Caenorhabditis elegans: one gene and its partners. The protein of the gene in region 3 purifies or fractionates together with the protein of the main gene of each other region. This does not show direct contact. Each region holds a gene or a part of one and is shown on either strand. Other genes may lie near its edges.

Region 1 (4,633 bases), 7.6 Mb from region 3:
CGGGAACGATACATGATTCTGTGTGTGCACGGTGATCCGAATACAGACTCACTTGTTCAATGGGAGATGGAGGTGAGTACACCAGCTATCTGGTTACTGTAGTTAATTCTAAATGTTTTCAGGTCTGCAAGTTGCCACGTCTCAGTCTGAATGGAGTTCGATTCAAACGAATCTCGGGAACATCGATTGGCTTCAAGAATATCGCTTCGAAAATAGCCCAAGAGCTGAACCTTTAGAGCTGAACCTATTGATGATTGTTCTTTTCATGTTTCATTTGTCGCCCCTTCACTCTCTCTCTCTAACCGCCTCACGTTTTTATCCATGTCTCGATATTCTCGCTTCTCTCGTCACCCAACACATCATCAGTCATTGTAAACTGAAATTCAGAAATTTATGAAAAAAGCAGCGATTTCAGTGAAAAATTGCTGAAATTAACTTCTGTTCAATTCGTCTCCTCCTCCCAATTCAACAATCCCCCTCTTCCAGTACGGTTTTCTCTTTTTTTTTTGGATATTTTCAAATTCATCGTTGTAGGTGATTGCTCCCCCCGTCCCCCTACCGTATCCTTGTTTTATAAAACCTCTATTTTTGTGTCTTCATCGTCGTCGCCGCTTCAAATTGCATTTTTCTTTTTCAAACCCATCGTTTCATATTTCGCGCCTTCCCCCCGATGATATAACCAATCCATCTTATCTTATAAGTTTTCTCGATATCCCATTGATTTAAATATTATTATAATTATTATTCGATTATTGACTACTCTTCTTTTTTTAAATTTTTTTTCTATGTGTCTTTTAGGGTATTCATCGCGTTTTTTCTTCCTTTTCTTTTTTCATATTTTATTTTTCTCCCTTCCCACCCCAGACTACCCATAACTTACCGTAGTCCCCCCTGTCCCCATATAATTCTCCATACAACCCTCACAACATTTTCCCTTGTCTCCGAAACATTTGTTTTCCTTGCGCCCTCTGTGATGATCAAATGAAGAATTGTAAATTATTAAATGTTTATTATTCTATTTCTACAGAACTTCCAACTAGATCCGTCGCATTGTGATCCTTCAAATCTTCCATGTCTTTGAACTTCAATCGCCCATCGCAACCCAAATTGAACATACGAGAATCTTGATGCTGGAACGGATTTTAATTTTAAATGTAGAATAAATATATTGGAAACCTCTTTAAATATCGGTAGAAAATTCGGTTCACAGTAATTTTTAACGTCCGGTAGAAGACAATTTCCTAAATCCTGGGCTATCTCGCAAGTCCATTTCCTTGTCGGAGTCTGAAAATAGGACGTTACAATTGCTTTTTTAAATTTGGGAAAATGTGGGGCTTCATTGGGTCTCACCACGATCTCAATTCTGCGAATTTCACAAAAATACACAAATTACTATTAAACATTTTCAAAATACCGTGATGAGTAATTGAAGGCGCACAGGTTTATTTGGATGGGTCTCGCCACGAGAAAAATTTCAAATAACAAATTTTTTCTCGCGGCGAGAACCTACCGAATAAATCGGTGTGTTTTTAAGTGCAAATATCAGAAAATGGAAAAATTACAATATCGTCCGTTTGCGGAAACGTGACAGTAAGTGATAAATATTCCATAATAAATTCATGTTTTCTCTGTACATTTCAGAAATTGACATTTCAAAAACTCCACTTTCCACATCAACTACGCAAGTATCTAAAATTAGGCACAAATCGTGGTGAGACCCACTCAGATAAATGCACTCACCGCATCCAAGTGTTCCTTCACGCAAGACGATAACTTGTCTGGGAAATTCTTTGCAACATCTCTTAAAGTAGAATAGCAAAAGCTCATTGGACCAATATTGAATGCATCATGAGAGCATCTATCCAATGTCTCAAATAGGACAAAGTCCTTGTAGCATTTTGTATTTTCCATACAGGTCTGAAATAAGACGTGACTCAATTTAAATTAGTTGTTCAATCATTTTAAATTAGCCAAAAACATTGTTGAATTTCCGTACTTATACGATTGCTTTGTTAAAAAAACAATATCTTCTAATGTCGGTGCAAAAACCGCGGAGCGGTTAATTTATTTCGGTACTTCATCAATAACATTTCAATTTTCATCAGAATAAGGTTCCAGAAAAGTACTCATGACCTTACATAATACTTATCACAATGTGCTGTCAATTCTGTCATATTCCACGTTTTCGTTTGTTCGGGATACCAAGAGATCGATGTTCTTCGGAACCATGATTTCATTCCTTCCTGGAAAATGGAAATTATAGAGCTTTTTGAATTGTTTGTTTTAATAATTATGGGTCGAATTTAATTTAGTTAGATTACTTTTAAATTACTGTATGTAGGGTGTTGTGTTACAACAGCGATACACTTACAACAGTTAACACGAAATTGCAATTTTGAACTTTTGAAGCTCAAAACTAGCGATATTGTTGATGTAATTCAATTCTCTCGCAACAAAATTTGAAAGATTCATAACTATTTCTATTGTCAAATGGAGAACGAACCCAGAACCAGCACCGACTAACTGCATTCCTTCCAACTGGATCATCCTGTTGCAAACAGGAAACTTTCAGACGATTCTTTTCATACCAGTCATGTCTATGTCCAGTCCGGAATGCACATTTCAAAGAGGGCACAAGTAAAAAAATAAGAAATATAATAGTTGATGAAAACTTCATTTTTTGAATATGAAATCTTCGAGGAGAGTGGAGAAATCGGATGCCAAAAGATTGGAAATCAAATGTTAAGAACAGCTGTTTTCTTGAAAATTTGATGTAAACAGCATGATGAATCTGACTGAAAATGAACCTGAGCAATGGAGAACATAGATTAAAAAGCTATTTTCAATTTAGTTTGTTTGTATTTTTCGAAAACACTACAACGTAGTTGTGAAAAATGAGTTTATTACAGAACTATATGCACAATAACATTTCATACATGTTTTTATTAATTCAAAAGATACTTTCTCGTCGAAGTTCCATATCGAGTTAATGTGGTAGTGGAACCTTGTCAGCAGATTCAGTCTTTGGCTTATCAGCTTCTCTCTTGACTGGGGCCTTCTTCTCAGAATCAGCAGATTCAGTCTTTGGTGGATCAGCTTCTCTCTTGGCTGAAGCCTTCTTCTCGGAATCAGCAGATTCAGTCTTTGGCTTATCAGCTTCTCTCTTGGCTGGGGCATTTTTCTCGGAATCAGCAGATTCAGTCTTTGGTGGATCAGCTTCTCTCTTGGCTGGGGCCTTCTTCTCGGAATCAGCAGATTCAGTCTTTGGCTTATCAGCTTCTCTCTTGACTGGGGCCTTCTTCTCAGAATCAGCAGATTCAGTCTTTGGTGGATCAGCTTCTCTCTTGGCTGGGGCCTTCTTCTCGGAATCAGCAGATTCAGTCTTTGGCGGATCAGCTTCTCTCTTGGCTGGGGCCTTCTTCTCGGAATCAGCAGATTCAGTCTTTGGTGGATCAGCTTCTCTCTTGGCTGGGGCCTTCTTCTCGGAATCAGCAGATTCAGTCTTTGGCTTATCAGCTTCTCTCTTGGCTGGGGCATTTTTCTCGGAATCAGCAGATTCAGTCTTTGGTGGATCAGCTTCTCTCTTGGCTGGGGCCTTCTTCTCGGAATCAGCAGATTCAGTCTTTGGCTTATCAGCTTCTCTCTTGACTGGGGCCTTCTTCTCAGAATCAGCAGATTCAGTCTTTGGTGGATCAGCTTCTCTCTTGGCTGGGGCCTTCTTCTCGGAATCAGCAGATTCAGTCTTTGGCGGATCAGCTTCTCTCTTGGCTGGGGCCTTCTTCTCGGAATCAGCAGATTCAGTCTTTGGTGGATCAGCTTCTCTCTTGGCTGGGGCCTTCTTCTCGGAATCAGCAGATTCAGTCTTTGGTGGATCAGCTTCTCTCTTGGTTGGGGCCTTCTTCTCGGAATCAGCAGATTCAGTCTTTGGCGGATCAGCTTCTCTCTTGACTGGGGCCTTCTTCTCAGAATCAGCAGATTCAGTCTTTGGCTTATCAGCTTCTCTCTTGACTGGGGCCTTCTTCTCAGAATCAGCAGATTCAGTCTTTGGCTTATCAGCTTCTCTCTTGGCTGAAGCCTTCTTCTCGGAATCAGCAGATTCAGTCTTTGGCTTATCAGCTTCTCTCTTGGCTGGGGCCTTCTTCTCGGAATCAGCAGATTCAGTCTTTGGTGGATCAGCTTCTCTCTTGGTTGGGGCCTTCTTCTCGGAATCAGCAGATTCAGTCTTTGGCTTATCAGCTTCTCTCTTGACTGGGGCCTTCTTCTCAGAATCAGCAGATTCAGTCTTTGGCTTATCAGATTCTCTCTTGGCTGGGGCCTTCTTCTCGGAATCAGCAGATTCAGTCTTTGGCTTATCAGCTTCTCTCTTGACTGGGGCCTTCTTCTCAGAATCAGCAGATTCAGTCTTTGGCTTATCAGATTCTCTCTTGGCTGGGGCCTTCTTCTCAGAATCAGCAGATTCAGTCTTTGGCTTATCAGCTTCTCTCTTGACTGGGGCCTTCTTCTCAGAATCAGCAGATTCAGTCTTTGGCTTATCAGATTCTCTCTTGGCTGGGGCCTTCTTCTCAGAATCAGCAGATTCAGTCTTTGGCTTATCAGCTTCTCTCTTGGCTGGGGCCTTCTTCTCGGAATCAGC
Region 2 (4,193 bases), on a different chromosome or scaffold from region 3:
ACAATGTCCCCAGGGTCCACAAGGTCCTCCTGGTGCCGTTGGGCCTTGTGGACCTTCTGGAATTCCCGGGCTCCCAGGGAATCCCGGATACACCTCTCCTCCAGGACTTCCTGGGCCACCGGGGCCTTGTGGTGAAGCTGGACGGGAAGGTCCCAATGGTACACCAGGCCTTAAGGGAGAGCCTGGAAATAACTCGATCCGTCAGATATCCCTACCAGGCCGTAAAGGCCCTCCAGGACTTCCTGGTCAATGCGGACCACCAGGGCCACCTGGATATACACCGCCTCCAGGACCACCAGGAACACCTGGAGTTCAGGGAGAAGCTGGACAGGATGGAGAACCAGGGGTACCTGGAGTTACTGGCTATCCAGGAGTTCGTGGGCCACCGGGGCAGGATGCTGAATATTGTCCGTGTCCACCAAAGAACGCAGGAGTCAATCGGAATAGTTATGTGCAGCCGGCACCAGGTAGGCTACTTTTTTCCATTAAGTAGGCGGGGCTGATATTACGGCCTAAAAAAACTCAAATTTCAAATTTCAACATATTTTTTACAGTGTCCACAAGCTACGCCACAGCATCCCAAAGCCGTTACGTGTCAGAGTACAATAAAGAGGATGAGTACAGGAAACGAGTGCTGGCTCGAGTGCTCAAGAAGCAGAGACGACTACTTTTGGCGACAAGAGCAAAGAATGTTCGCCGGAAGCCTGTTAGTCACGCTAGTCCGTAATTATTTTTATTTTTGTGAAATAAATTTGTATAAACTTTTTCACGGACGTTTCCAGAAAGTATACTGTCCCAAAAATTTTAATTGGGCTTCGCATGGGCCCCGCCCACAAGGCTCGGACAGAAACCCTTTGTGAACGGGAAGATTTTTTTTCTGGAAATTTTAGAATTTTTTCTGAAATTTTCTTTTGGCAAAATTCCTAATGAAATCAGTCATTTTGTGGGTGGAGCTTATGAGTGTAATAGCGAAATTGCTTGAGACCAGGACGAATTTTTTATAAACTTTATTCTTCACAAAATACAAAATACAAATTTCATATATTTATCATTTCTTCTCCGTGCTCTTCAAGAATTCCAGAACCTTTCCGGAAAACCATTTGGGATATTTCAAATAAAAATCGTGTCCTCCTTGTGCATGAATCTCAACTTTTGCCAAACTCTTGAGCACTGGGATGAAGCATACATTCGGGTCACCACAGAACCGGTCCAATCCACCATTCATCACTAGTGTCGGGCATTTGACTTGTGGAAGTACCAGGTCACACGGGAAACGGCCACCGCAGAACGAGTGAACTCTGAAAATTCGTTTGGTTAGGTAGGAAGCAGACGTAGGTCGCCTTGAAGGTAGTTGGCAGACATATTTGTGCCTACAGGAATATACACAACTTCGCATAAGCCCCGCCCACAAAACTCACTGATCTACGACGTCACAAAGTGCCGCCCATTGTGTCCGGAGTGTTTCCGGCGAATAATGGTCCAAATATGGTTGACGACCGGCTGCTAGCCAATGATTTGTTTCACGCATTCCTGAAATTCCAAAAATTAATTTATAAAGAGCACAAAACCAATAGATGGCCACACCCATAAAATGGACGTTCGATTTATTTTCCCATAAAAAATCTTGTAGGTAGGTAGGCATAAATTGCTGCTTCTATGTGGAAAAATGGGCCATATTGGTGTCAAATTAAGAAATTTCATTAAAAAACAGTAATCTTCCAAATATATCTAAATATCTCACCCTTGAAAGCCATGGCTCCTAGATGATTAACTTTTGTTGCACCAGCCATTACAATCATTCGATTCACTTTTTCCTTTCCTTTAGCTGCCACGTGGACCGTTGTTCTAGCACCTTCTGACCACCCCATCACGGTGAACGGCTCTAGTTTCAGGGTCTAAAATTTGGAGGCTTTTTGAAAACGTAAAAATTTTAATTTCAAAATTAAAAGCTCACCTCCATTAACCCTAGGCAATATTCACTATCCTTCATACATCTCTGAACTTCTTGTTTTCGCTCTGGAGGTCTTGAGGTACCGTAACCTGGAGGATCAATCCCAACAATTGTGACCTGATCTGGTGGGAAATGAGAGAGCAATTTGAGTGGCCAATCTTTTTTATAGCAGCCGACAGCACCGCAAATCGCGAGAATGTAGTTCGGACCGTGGCCGTATTTACAGTAACCGATTTGAGTGTCCTTGATGTGTTCCGAACTTTCGATATAGTCGCTTTGAGTCATTTTTCTTTTGCTGAAATTTATTTAGGTGTTTAATTTGTTAATTATGAGGTAGCGACGGTGAGGAAATTTTCCGGATAATATAAATGTTTGAGACACCTTTGTGACCTTTGAGACCGCACACCTTTGAAGTACATCTCCCCGATTTCTTCTATCCTAGAAAGAGACGTAACAAGGGTCAAGGTTCAAATGTATTGCTAAGAGAACGCCTCTTGTGGTGTGGTAGTACTACAGTATTTACAACCTACTAGTACAGTAGGTCGTATATATTGTTATTGTCGATGATTTACAACCACCGGATTGACCTAGAATTAACATAGGTATTTGAAATCGGTTTAGGCCAAATAATTATGGTTCCGCGACATTTATAGAATTCGGAATTTTCTGAAGAGCGAGAACATGTATTGTGAACCTCTACAATATTTAAATACAGAAATGTAGAGTACAAAACATTGTTTTTTGATCGACTTCCAGAATTATGATACGTGAAAACTGATAGTGAATATTAAATTATTCGAAAATCGGACACATGGAATTATTGATCTCAAAAATTCGGTGAAATAGGCTAAAGAGGAAGGAAAACCAAAGAGGAAATTTTAAAAGTGCATGTATTTGAATGACGAATAGTTCTACGAAAAAGATTTTGAAAGTCCGATAGGAATGAGAAATTTGTAGCCTACAGATTAAGATTTCAGAAGGAATTTGGACAAGACCGGATTAATTTTGTGCCTGTAAGCTGCGGAAAGTTCTAGAACCATCTGGAAAATACGAGAAAGTTTTGGAATGTTCTAAAACCTTCTGAAAAATTAGATAGAATTCCGGAATGTTCTAGAACTATCTGGAAAATACGAGAAAATTTTGGAAGGTTCTGGAACCTTCAGAATAATTCGAGAAAATTTTGGAAGATTCTAGAAAGGTAATAAAAATTATTAAAAAAAACATAACCACTAAAACACCGAAACATCTAGTTATTTGTAATATAAATGTGTAGTTTCTAATAAAAAGGAACTATGAAACAGTAAAGTAAACCTTTTGATTTATACTGGGAGAGTATGCAGATTTCAATCTAGGATATGAGGGTAAATAGGGAATAACAGGTGAAAGTGTACAAACGCAGTCGGAGGAAGATGTTGTTAAGATGAAAGAAGAAGGAGAAGAACACAGGCACTTGGACACACAGAGGGAAATAAATGGGAAATGAAAGGGAAAAGGGATATGGAAGAGACAGAAAATTGTTCCTATTGTCTGAAGGTATTGTATAAAACCGCAAAGAGGAAATTGATGATCGAATCATGTGATTTTGCGGGGAGTGCTGAAAGCATTTTTTTCAGATTTGTCAAGCTTGGGTCTTTGATCTTTTAGGACAACACAGTTTTACACATCTGGAACAATGCGGCTTCACCCATGTTGTCGAACACAAATAAATTTTTATGAACCAAATTTAATCAATAAAACTTGAAAATTACAATATTAGAGAAAAACTTGAAGACGATTTTCTCATTTTCCAGTATTCCCTTGTTTCCGTGTCAATGTCCAAGACTCCACTTCCACTGGATCTCCAAGCGGCTCCCATTGATCCGTGAGCTGTCCTTGTCGATCTCTGAATACTCTAGCTCGTCTTAGGATTCTTCTATATACTGTCGCAGGGTACTATGTGTCGCAGTGTTCATTGGGGTCCTGCCGGTTGACAACTTGCACAGGGACTCTATCAAAGTTTTGATCATGAAATACAGGTAGTTGTTGCGCTGTTCCCTGGAAGATTGGATTGATTGAACAATTTTTTTAGCATCACCTTTTTAAAATATCAGTTTTTAACTGGTCGGTTAAAAAATCCATATATGCCTGCCACCCGATATCATCATTTTAGGTGACTAGCGGGCCTATGGGCCCGCCAGCCCTTCGGGAATGGGGATAGGGTTAATTCGCTCTAAGTTATTAGCAAGGTAGCTGGCGCAGGTTC
Region 3 (3,978 bases):
GCAGCGCTCGCAGCGATTTTCTATTATCACGTGTTCGGAAAACCATTTGGTCCGCATGTAACCTATGTGAATGGACCACCACCGGTTTAACTGAATCATCAGTATTCTGATTGAAATCCCTTTTTGTTTCTATTTTTATGTTGTAATCTCTGACCCGGGTAGGTACAAAATTAAACCAGTAGATTCGATTGATTGTTTTTATATTTTAAATTTCTGAAATTAAACATTTAATTTCAAAAAAGAAAAAAATTGTTTTTTAAAAATAGAAATGTAGGACTAGATACTCAATATTAATCACTTACCCTACAGTTTCTTTCGAATATCCGAAAATCTTCCAAACTTTCCCCCCAAAAAAATCTCCGTGTTCAGGTATTTGTTTCATTCTCTCTCTTTTTTGTTTCTCCACTCATATTGAGAATATTTTATATCTCCACTTAAATCGGTGACTTTCCTGTATATATGATGATTTATTTGACAAAAAATGTTATCTGAATATTCTCATCTGAAAAGAGAATCCACTTTTGATGTCAGTTATTTTATTTACGAACTACCTTTTGGTTTTATCCTATTTTGTTTTGAAATTTGATTTATGTGCATTCGTTAATAAAAATTAATATATGCCAAACACATGTGTATCATGAAAAAAAAGACCCCCTGACTGACTGCCTAATAGGCGGCCTTCATGCCTCCTGCCAAAATACACATAAATATTCTTCATAGATTTCCAGTTGAACTTCCAGAAAACTAATTCTACACTTTGCAAGCATCTGAATATAGTTATTCAATTCCCAAATTAATAAATTAAGTGGTAGGCGAGTAGGTATGAGGCAGGCACGCAGACATAAAAAAAATATAATATTGACTTACTGTTTTAAAATTCAGTTTTCTTTGCGAACGTTTGAAAGAAAATGGAGAGCAAAGGCTTCTGAGCATTAGCGATTTTTAAATTTAAACATTTTTTATCAACAAAAACTCATAAGACATGCAAAATTTATAAAACAACTTGACAATTAACGTCGAAAATTCCAAAAAATACATTAAAAAAATAAGATCCCCGATTTATCTGTATGGGTTGAAGTTTTGGACTGGTGGTGGTGGTGCTCCGTATGGCATAAAGTTTGGCTGAACAAACACTGGAGCAACATAGGTTTCAGTTCCATAGGCATTGTATCCAGAGTGTCCATGATCGACATGTCCGTCCCAACGACGTTGGAAGTGGAATCCTTCGAAGTGAACCTTGTCAACATGAACGTCTCCCTTCAATCCGATGGCTTGAACCGATTGGTATGGGTAACGATGTGGGTAGTCGGCGAGGTGATGACCGTTCACAGAGATCTGAAATTGAATACAGTTAACTATAAAATTAAATACGTTAAAACTTACATGGTAATATCCAGCGTGAACCTTGATGCTAAGGTGGAAGTGCTCCGAGTGGTGAAGTGGGTTTTTGTGACGGATTTCTGGTCCCCACATTCCACTGAACTGGGAGTTCATGACAACGACGTGTTCATGATGGAAACGGAAGTTGACATGAAGAACAACATTTGGTCCGCTCAAAAGCTCGACGGCAAAGTTCTTGTGATGTCCGTGACGAACATGTCCGTGAACAGAGATGGTGGATCCATCTTGAAGTGGCTCGAAGATCGAGAGAGCGGTTGGGACACCCTGAAATTTGGTTTATTGAAAACTTGAAGTTTCCAAACTGGAAAATTCTAGAAAATCAAAAACTCACGGGGTTGTGATAGGAGTGCATGTTAGTTGATAGTAAGACCGATTGAACCGATAGAGAAGTGAGGAAATGCCACGACTTTTATTCAAACTCTTATCGATATTTCTATGACATCAGGCGAGTTTTATTTGCTTAAAGACTAAGAATCAATGGGAGGTATCAGACACACTTCTACATTTGGGAAATCAATGGCAAATAAAGAACTGAATAAGACTAAAAGTTGGAATTCAATGAAAGAGGATGTAATTACTCAACTGATGGGGAAGAAAAATCAAATTCAATCGTTGCGTCTGATTAGGAATGAAATGTTTCTGTTAATAATTTGCAAGTAATCAGCTCGAAGCATAATTTTTTGTTGGTTTATTTTGTTTTTCAGCATGACGGAACATCATTTTGGAAATACAAAAAGTTTTAAATATCAAGTTTTGTCTAATAGAGGGTATAAAAATTGTATTTAGGTTACAGATCTAAATGATTTCTCACTATCATTACATCATTTTACAACATAATTCTACATACAAATGCCACGAATTTTAAAAAATTAGATGTTAAATAATGTTTTGAAAAGGTGTTCAGATTTCTGTAGTTATGAATATGAAAGGATTGTTGTCCTCGAAAATGTTTCGTTACGTTTGTTAATTTGGATTAGTTCATCTAGAAAAGGGTGCGAATTCAAGTCACATCAACAATTTGTCAGCTAAACAAATAGTCAAGTTTGCAAACTTTCCAGAACTGTTTCCATGATTTCAAAAACCTACCGAAAAGATTGGCAAAATTTCATATTTAATCTTAAGAGATTTAAGTTTCAATTTCATTCATTTTCAGATCTTTTTCCATCTTTTTTGGTGCACTATAAAAACCGTTTTTTGCAGTTTTTGTGCTAAAATCATCTTTCCATCGGCACACACAACGTGATGCTATCAAAAATGAAATTCTCGTACAATTGCCATTTTTGATCGGAAACTCTGTTTGACATTTCACCAGTTTTACATGAGTCATAGTCTGGTGTACACCAAGAATTGAGCATAGATCGTGAACTGGTCATGAGTCATTTCAGGTGATTTTTGAATGGGTCATACACGAGAGAATTTTTTATTTAATAAAAATTATTTTATTGACTGAGTGACAGTAATATATGAAACAGGTTAGAATGATAGTGCAGAATGAGTTCAAATTGGTACAAGTTATGGGTATAAAACCGTTTGTTACAAAATGGGATGGTTCAAACGAAAAGGTTTGAAAGTTCGTGGAACGATTCGGAGAGCAACTTTGCAAACTTTGTTGAATCAGTGTTGGCAGCGGAATGATAACTTGTGATGTTTGCAAAGATTCCGTGGTTTCCTCCAAAGCGATAGCAGATTCCGTAGCCATCAGCAGCGACTGCTCCGAAGCATGCTCCGAGCCAAGTGTTGTCTGAATCAGTGTCCTCGTCGCATTGATTAGTCACGTTTGGAACCTGGAATAGGATATGTTCAAATTGTAAAGTTAAAAAAAAAATAATTAGGAAAATCCAGAAAAAGCAATTGTTGAAAAATGTTTGAATTAAAATCCTTCAGCTCATTATTAGAAAGTTACGTGATACAACTGCCAAATACATAGCACTATGTCATCTTATTTTAATGATTACTCACATGTGAGGTAGATAGCTTCCACTTTTGATTAATATAATTGTCAAGGAAAGGACTCTGAATCCCCGTTCCTTGAGATAAAATATACAGAACAAAGAGATGACGATCGACTCCTTGCCCAACCATACACTTCTTGTTTCGAAGAACATGAGTTTCACAAGCTTTTTTCAAAAGAGCAATCTTGGCTTCTTTCTGAAATTTGAATTTTTCATCGTCTTAATAACTTCAAATTAACTTACCGTTTCATTTGCATTCAACATAGCTTCCACAAATTCACAAGAGTGATCGTTAACTGTTCTCAAAGTTTCGGTCCTCGAGTTTGCAAAGAATCGAGCTGATGCTGGTTCATATGTGAGCACAAATTTGCCTTGATCTCGATAGTTGGCAAGTTGAATAGCCATTTGAATGAATGCATCTGGTGAGACACCACACTTCTTGATACGTCCTTTTCCAAAATCACGGAATGCAAGGGCATACAGGTCAAGGTCATTCTTGGCGATTTGATGAGCATCGTAGCAGCGAGTGATCTCGGAGAGCATCTGAAAAATGATTATTTTGACCTGAAAGGTAAGGCAAAAAATGAAGCTTACCTCTTGATCTGGAACTTCAAAGTTCAATGGA

What was found. Proteins that work in one complex are often made in the same cells at the same time.
Region 1: the proteins of lec-10 (region 3) and H39E23.2 fractionate together in Caenorhabditis elegans (co-fractionation; one large-scale study listed by BioGRID). This does not show direct contact.
Region 2: the proteins of lec-10 (region 3) and K01A2.5 fractionate together in Caenorhabditis elegans (co-fractionation; one large-scale study listed by BioGRID). This does not show direct contact.

The regions. Positions count from the first base shown.
Region 1 is NC_003283.11:14,108,405-14,113,037, reverse strand, and holds H39E23.2 (T20D4.11-like domain-containing protein), read right to left. Parts: upstream 2,697-4,633; 5' UTR 2,678-2,696; coding exon 2,504-2,677; intron 2,244-2,503; coding exon 2,139-2,243; intron 1,918-2,138; coding exon 1,741-1,917; intron 1,285-1,740; coding exon 1,177-1,284; intron 1,131-1,176; coding exon 1,011-1,130; 3' UTR 992-1,010; downstream 1-991. Other genes in the region: Serine/threonine-protein kinase par-1, read left to right, coding at 1-72, 123-236; H39E23.3 (Neurofilament heavy polypeptide-like), read right to left, coding at 2,987-4,633.
Region 2 is NC_003280.10:300,458-304,650, reverse strand, and holds K01A2.5 (AB hydrolase-1 domain-containing protein), read right to left. Parts: upstream 2,247-4,193; 5' UTR 2,237-2,246; coding exon 1,955-2,236; intron 1,896-1,954; coding exon 1,742-1,895; intron 1,531-1,741; coding exon 1,419-1,530; intron 1,299-1,418; coding exon 1,049-1,298; 3' UTR 992-1,048; downstream 1-991. Other genes in the region: col-69 (Nematode cuticle collagen N-terminal domain-containing protein), read left to right, coding at 1-467, 555-727; K01A2.6 (AMIN domain-containing protein), read right to left, coding at 3,884-3,985.
Region 3 is NC_003283.11:6,487,259-6,491,236, forward strand, and holds lec-10 (Galectin), read right to left. Parts: upstream 1,863-3,978; 5' UTR 1,754-1,862; coding exon 1,733-1,753; intron 1,666-1,732; coding exon 1,384-1,665; intron 1,336-1,383; coding exon 1,060-1,335; 3' UTR 945-1,059; downstream 1-944. Other genes in the region: Nuclear migration protein unc-83, read left to right, coding at 1-90; cpt-6 (Choline/carnitine acyltransferase domain-containing protein), read right to left, coding at 2,952-3,185, 3,361-3,549, 3,597-3,896, 3,948-3,978.